Canis lupus familiaris: one gene and its partner. The protein of the gene in region 2 interacts with the protein of the main gene of each other region in a pairwise test. Links are inferred from orthologs where the notes say so. Each region holds a gene or a part of one and is shown on either strand. Other genes may lie near its edges.

Evidence for each region.
Region 1: the proteins of ABL1 (region 2) and MSH5 interact in binary tests that used the Homo sapiens proteins (3 or more experiments, as listed by UniProt). The link is inferred for Canis lupus familiaris from reciprocal best matches to the Homo sapiens genes ABL1 and MSH5.

What each region holds. Positions count from the first base shown.
Region 1 is NC_049233.1:1,365,252-1,368,900, forward strand, and holds part of MSH5 (mutS protein homolog 5), read left to right. Parts: intron 1-2,392; coding exon 2,393-2,555; intron 2,556-2,635; coding exon 2,636-2,698; intron 2,699-3,649.
Region 2 is NC_049230.1:53,210,630-53,214,278, forward strand, and holds part of ABL1 (tyrosine-protein kinase ABL1), read right to left. Parts: intron 3,164-3,649; coding exon 1,446-3,163; 3' UTR 1-1,445. UniProt on the Homo sapiens protein: Non-receptor tyrosine-protein kinase that plays a role in many key processes linked to cell growth and survival such as cytoskeleton remodeling in response to extracellular stimuli, cell motility and adhesion, receptor endocytosis, autophagy, DNA damage response and apoptosis.

The sequences.
Region 1 (3,649 bases), on a different chromosome or scaffold from region 2:
TGATGTTCAGGGCCCCTCCCATTCACCTCAACTTAAATTTCCAGGATTATCTTCCCAGCCCTGCCTAAATCCCTCCTCACTGGACCCACCTTATATTCTGGTCGTTTGGGCCATTTTCTACCATGGAAATACACCATGCCTGTGTTTATGCAGTTCCTTCTATGAAAGATTTTTCCCTTGTTCTTCACTTGTCAGAATCTGTCCTCCTCTTCAAGGTGGCAAGCCCTCTGTCACCTGTTCGGGGAAACTTTCACAGGCACCTGGAAGCAGACTGACCTGCACCTTCCTGCGTGCTTAGTGCCTGTTTATGTTTCCTGGCTGCACTGTTCCATTAGGTTGGAGTCAGCGGTCAGTGAACCTGCTCACTCATATCTGTGAGCTCCATACAGTGGTCATGTCTGTTAATGTCGGTGTCTAGCACATGGCCTTGGATGTAGTAGCACCCAGCGAGTGAGCACGGTACACAGATGCAAGCACATTGGTCCCATTGTCTCTACAAGCTCAGAGCTGAAGGCTTTGCTAGCCCACAGATGCACAATTCTTTCTTCACCTCATGTGCCCTGCACTTTGTGTCTTTTGGCAGTTAATTTAGGATAATGTCTGAGGTTGTCTCCAGGTAATTGGGATGAGTTAATTACCCTCGCATTCTACAGGTGCAGATCTCTCATCTCAGCCAGTGATGAGAGCAAAAGAATTCTTAGAGAAGAACAGAGTTAAATGCAGAAAGGAATGCCAATCCCCCAGGTAGGATCCAGTAGGGCATGGACTCATAACCTGAATTATGAACTAGGGGTCCAATTGGCCTACAGCAGGACGGGGCACCAGGAAGGTGACTGGATGTCACAGTGTGCTCTGAAAAGCACTGCCCTAGTAGTCTGGAGACCTGAGTTGGAGACCCAGCTATACTTCTTACTAGCACAGTAACTTTGGACAAGCTGCTTATTCTCTAAGGGCTTCATTTTCTCGGCTGTAAAATTAGGAGATTTAGCTTGATTACGATATCTGGCACTAGCAGTACATGAGTCAGAAATATCTCAGGATTTTACAAGATAGATGGCTTGGTGAAGGTTGTGCTTTCCAGAATGGGGACAGGTATTCACAGTCTGGCCTACATTGCTGCAGGTGGAGCTGTCTGTGGCTGAGGAGCAGAGGTGCCTAAAACCCACCCTTGAATCCCACCCAGCCCTCCGCTTCACTCCCTGCGGTGTTCTAACCCAGGGTAACTGGCCTTAGGCTATAGTGTGAGATACATATCCTCAGGCCCCAGTGTCTCCTCAGGTTGCTTTATATAAAATAGCATGGCTAAATGTCCTGCTCTAATGCAGAAAAGAATTCATTGTCTCACAGGTCCTTGCAGAGTCACACTCTTCATAGCCATAGAGAGACAAGGACACTCAGACAAACCCAGATGAGAGATTTATTACCGTATACTAATTTAATTTAGTAGAAAATACCTCAGACACACAATAGTAGAAGTAATGATGATGATGATGATGATATAAACCTCTATGTTTGCACCTGCATATTTAAGAATATAACAATGTTACTAAAGGGGTGCCCTGCTGCTGGCTCAGTTGATAGAGCACGTGACTCTTGATCTTGGGGTTGTGAGTTCAAGCCCCACGATGGGCATAGAGCTTACTTAAAAAGGTTGGGGAGGGGGTCGCTGGGTGGCTCAATTGGTTGTCTGACTTTGACTCAGGTCATGATCTCAGGTCCTGGGATGGAGCCCTGCATCAGGCTCTTCACTTTGCAGGAAGGCTGTTTTTCCCCCTACCACTCCCCTTGTTCATGTGCGCACTCTCTCAGATAAATCAATAAATAAAAGTTTTAAAGAGTCTTAAAAAAAAAAGACAATGTTATTGACACCTCTTAAGTGTCCCTTCCCAACCCTTTCTTCTCTGCAGAAGTGACCATTATCATGAATTGAGGACTTATCATTCCCCATGGAATGGTTATATACTTTTACAGAACAGGAAAAGATGTCTGTACTGTCACACCCAGAGACACTTACAGCCAAATGCAGATAAACTCATGCTGACTCACCCTGTCTTACTCAGCCGCAGAGAGAGCTAGAATGTTGGCACACAAATACCTCAATATGCTGCTCTCCGTCTAAATATTGACAAGCTCTGTCGCATATCCACATGGAGTGACACATGGTCACATCCATCAAAACCACGATAAACAGAGTCATGCTCACATGCAGAGATTTTTAGTGAATATGTGTAAACATACCCATGTGGATAGGACACTGTACTTGCCAGTACAGATACATTTCACCCCAATCCCCAGGGACTTCCAAACACACATTTTTCACAAATTGAAATCAAGACAATGATGAGAACAGATGTAACTTCTGGTCCCTCCCTACTTCATCCCTCACTTCCAGGCTGTGGTTCACACGTCCAACTCAGGATCTGGAAGAGCTAAATTCTCGGCTGGATGTCATTCAGTTTTTCCTCCTACCTCAGAATCTGGACATGGCTCAAATGCTGCATCGGCTTCTGGGTCATATCAAGAATGTGCCTGTGAGCCCAGGCCAGGGCAGGGAGGTAGGGAAGGAGCACTGGGATTCTTGGGGGCATTAGAATGGAGGAGAGAAGACAGCGGCCATCCCCTTGTCTGACTGTAGCTGATTCTGAAACGCATGAAGCTGTCCCACACCAAGACCAGTGATTGGCAGGTTCTGTACAAGGTAAGGCTCCCCTTCAAAACCCAGAGTTCCAAGTTAAGCCCCTCAGCAGGCGATCCAGGCCCTTTGCACTTTACTCACCAGGTCCGATTTTATCTCAACACTTGAACAACAACAACTTTGTATCATAGAAATTATAAAAAATATTTAGAATAATATAACAAACCCCTACATGCCCACCATGCAGCCTGAACACTTTGGCTCATACCAATCTTGTTTCATGTACATCTTCTCCCTCTTTCCCCTCTCTGGATTATTTTGAAGCAATTCCAGCCATCATATCATTTCACCCATAACTATTTCAGTATAATTTCTAAAAGAAAATTACTTTTTTCTTTTAAAGATTTTATTTATTAATTCATGAGAGACAGACACACACACAGAGGCAGAGACACAGGCAGATAGAGAAGCAGGCTCCATGCAAGGAGCCTGATGCGAGATGTGATCCCGGTAATCCGGGATCAGGCCCTGAGCTGAAGGCAGGTGCTCAACTGCTGAGCCACCCAGGTGTCCCAAGAAAATTACTTTTGGGGCAGCCTGGTGGCGCAGTGTTTTAGCGCCACCTTCGGCCCAGGGCCTGATCCTGGGGCCAGGGATCCGGTCCCATGTTGGGCTCCCTGCATGGAGCCTGCTTCTCCCTCTGCCTGTCTCTGCCTATCTGTGTGTGTGTGTGTCTCGTGAATAAATAAATGAAATCTTAAAAAAAAAAAAAAAAGAAAGAAAATTACTTTTTTTTTGAAAATTACTTTTAAAAAAGAACAATACCATGATCTTACTAACAGCACAGCTCTTGAATATCATCAATTATCTGATGTTCACATTTCTAATCCTCTTAAATGTCATCATTTTTTAAAAATTACTTTTTGTTTAATTAGAGTGCAAATGTGTTCAACATATGGTGATGGGATGATGTCTCTTGAAGCCTCCTCTGTGGGTTCCTTTTCATTTCACTGT
Region 2 (3,649 bases):
GAAGGTGGTTGTCTTGGTTTCTCCAAGGGCTGCTCCCAGGCTTGGCATGAGGCCCAGGAAGGTGCCTGTCTGCTCTTCAGTAGCTGCTCTAGGTCAAGGTCAAGATGGTCCGGGGCCGCCTGGGGAGAGACCAATGCCTGCTCTTTGAGACACTTTCTGGAGCTTCACTTGATTATGGTCTTCTTCATCCCTGATAACCCCAACAGAAACAGGGGACTCCATGCTGCTCACGGTCATTTAATAGGACGTCTGCCCCTTAGTGCACGGCCAACAGTGGCTGAGGCTTTGGATCCACAGTCCTCATCCTCCCGTGCTCTGGTGGCAGATGGCAGGTCCTACTGTACCGAGGGTGGCTGGGCTGAGGGCGGAGCCATGAAATGCTTCAAGAACTCCAGAAAACTAAGGACTGGCTTGTCACACAGGAAAGAGTTTTGCATCAATCTACTCTGTCTCAGAGGAGTGCAAGGGAGGAGGAGGAGGTCGGTCAGAAATCAAGACCAAGTGGCTTTTCTGAGTACCTGGAAATCTGAAAGGAAGGTGACCTGGGCCCGTGGCAGACCTGCCCTAGGCCCAGCCCTAGGCCACCAGCTGTTCACCCAGGGAGCACCCCCCCTCCAACTCCCCTGTTCTTTGACTGCAACCCCTCCTACCCTTAAGACTCAAGCTTTCTATCCAGGATGAGCAGTGCATGTCACAAGACAGCAAGGAGCTGAAAGAACAGATAACAAGGACAACCTCCCACCCCAAAGGCCTCTTCAGCTCCCCCACCTGTCCTAGGACCCAAAGGCTGGTTGGTTTTAGCACCCTGTTTTAACCCCCAAATCAAGAGCTGTCCTTCATATGAGGAAGTGTGAGGGCACCAGCCCCCGGCAGCAATGGAAGGCAGAGTGACAGCATTTCCCAGGATATAGTTCTGGAAACATGTCTTCAGTGCAGGAGGCACCAGAAGAGGAGTGCAGGCTGCCTCCATGCGGTAAGTGGAAGGGATAGTTCCTAGGCCTTGATGACAAGGCTCCTGTGCAGGGCACTCGCTCTTGGGGGGAAGTGGAGGAGATGGCATGGCCAGAAGAAGGCCTCTGGAAACAAGAGAGAAAAGGAAATGCTCATCCGCTTTCCCACCTGGCCTGAAGAGCTCAGTTCTGGAGCACGGCATGGGGAAGAGGCTGGCGGGCCAACTGGAGTCCACAGAGCAGGAACCCCACAGATAGAACTCAGGACAGAGGTGGTTCAGGGAGCCTGGGCTGGGGACAGGAAAAGTGCAGAAAAACAGCTGGCGCAAAATGTTAGGTAGTAGGGCTGTGCTCCACAGTGACCCTCTCAGCTCCTTTCACATGGAGCTCCCCGGCCAACGTCCCAACTCTCTGGTCTGTGTCAGCCACTGTGGCAGGCATGGGGCAGCCTCACACACTGTAGGCGGCTCCAGCTGGCCTGATGCCTGGCTTCTGCTACCTCTGCACGATGTCACTGATCTCCTTCACGGAGCTGAGGAGTTTGCTGAAGTCCTGAGTGGCCGCCGGGCCACTCCCTGCTGTCGCCGGGCAGATCTGAAGTTCCCGGAGATTATTCTCCAGTTTGTTGATGGCCTCACGGAAGGCGAATTTGTTCCTCATTTGCTGGATAGAATCCACGTAGCTCACACAGAATGTGTAGAGATTCTTGCCGGCTTCAAGTACAGCGCTGTGGCTGGCCATCTGCTCGGAGTTCTTAGAGATGGCGAGGCACAGAGCCTCCGTGCCATCCAGGACCACACCCTTGGTGATGGTGCCACTGGCGATCCGCTCAGGAGGCTGGCGGGTTTTCCGAAGAGACACACGGGTTGATATGAGAGGGATGAAGGCAGTGGAGGCTGGCTGGTCCACAGCCAGGGCAGAGGATGCGGATGACAGCGTGGAAGGGGCGGAAGCCGGGCTGGCTGGGGTCCCCGCCGGCTTGCCGGACGACTGCGGCTTTGGCATGGATGGGAGCACGGGCTTTTTGACGCCTTCTCCCAGCAGACCGGGCTTGACGGTGTCACTGTTCACAGCATCCACAACCACTGCTGCGGCTTTGGCTTTCCCACCAGTGCTGGCCTCCCCAGCTGCTTCCTGGCTCAGGCTCTGAGAAGGCTTCCCGGCTTTCCCAATGGAAGCTGGTAGTGGGGGCGGTGGGACAGGTTTGAGCTTGGACAGTTTCCCCTTGTCTCTCCCTGGGGACTCGGAGGAGGGCTTGTGCCTCCTGGCTCTGGGCTCCTCTGCGGGGGCCTTGCTGGCCCCTCCGGACATCCCTGGCCCTCCTCTGCTGGCAGGGGTCCCCAGCTCAGCTGTGGTAGGGGTCCCCAAGGCACTGGACTTCCCGGCCTCGTCTTTGTGGGGAAGGCTGGAGGAAGGAGCCCCCGACACCTGCTTGCGGAGGAGTTTTGGAGTCAGACTGGGAGGGCTGGAGCCTGGACTGGACTCCCCCATGTCTCGAAAGACCTCATCTGCTGCGTCCTCAGTCTTTTTCACCAGCCGGGGTGGGGGGGTCACTGTGCCTCTGGTCACCTGGTCAGACCTATTCTCACTCGCCCGTTTCCGAGGCAGAGCTGGCTTCTCGCTCTTGTGCCCTCCAAATGTGGACGAGTCGAACTGCCTCCCTGTGGACTGCAGATCCCGAGGCAGCGTGACAGACCTCCACTCTGTGTCCTTGGCCCCGTGGGGCACACATGAGGCCGAGCAGGACCTCAGGAAGCGCTTGCTGGAGCTGCCGCCACTCTCCTCCTCATTGGCGGTCAGGCGGCTACTGGTCAGTGTACTGGACTTTTTCCACAGGTGGGGAGACCGGAAGCCTGGTCCCCCCGACTCCCGGAAGGCTCCATTCGGGACACCCGCCCCGCTGCTGGGCTTTGGGGACTTGGCTGGCTCGGCTGCGTCCAGGGTGGTGAGGGCTGGCACCCCATTGCTGGTTTCTCGGCCCTCCTCCTCAACGGCTGCCTTGCGCTCGGGCTGGCCGTCCATCTCCCGGAAGGAGCTGCTGCGTTTTGGGGGTGTTGGGGCCGTTTTCTTCTTCTTTTTGATCAAGGCACTGAACAAGTTGGTCTTTTTGTCTTTGGGGAGAAGGCGCTCATCTTCATTTAGGCTGCTGTCTTGGGGACCCCGTTCTTTTCGAGGGAGCAGTGGAGACACAGGAGGCTCGTGATCCAGGGGATCTGAAACACAATGGGAAGACTTTTAACATCTCCAGACCAAAGGCTCCTTTGTGGGGGGAACCTGGGGCTGGCCCCTGTCCTCTACAGAGGAGCAGCCCAGGGTCAGGGCTCTGGCAGGCCTACCTGTAAGCACCAGCTCTGCCACTCCCAACTGTGGCCTGTGAGTGTCCTCAGCTCTCTCATCTATGAACCGGAGACCACCACCTACCCATAGCATTGTGTGAACGTCATGCAGTGAGCATACAGCGTTTGTCCCAGCTATCAGTACATAATTTCTCACGGACTGTTAATACTTCTAGGAAAGGGGGATCCCTGGGTGGCGCAGCGGTTTGGCGCCTGCCTTTGGCCCAGGGCGCGATCCTGGAGACCTGGGATCGAATCCCACGTCGGGCTCCTGGTGCATGGAGCCTGCTTCTCCCTCTGCCTGTGTCTCTGCCTCTCTCTCTCTCTCTGTGTGACTATCATAAATAAATAAAAAATTAAAAA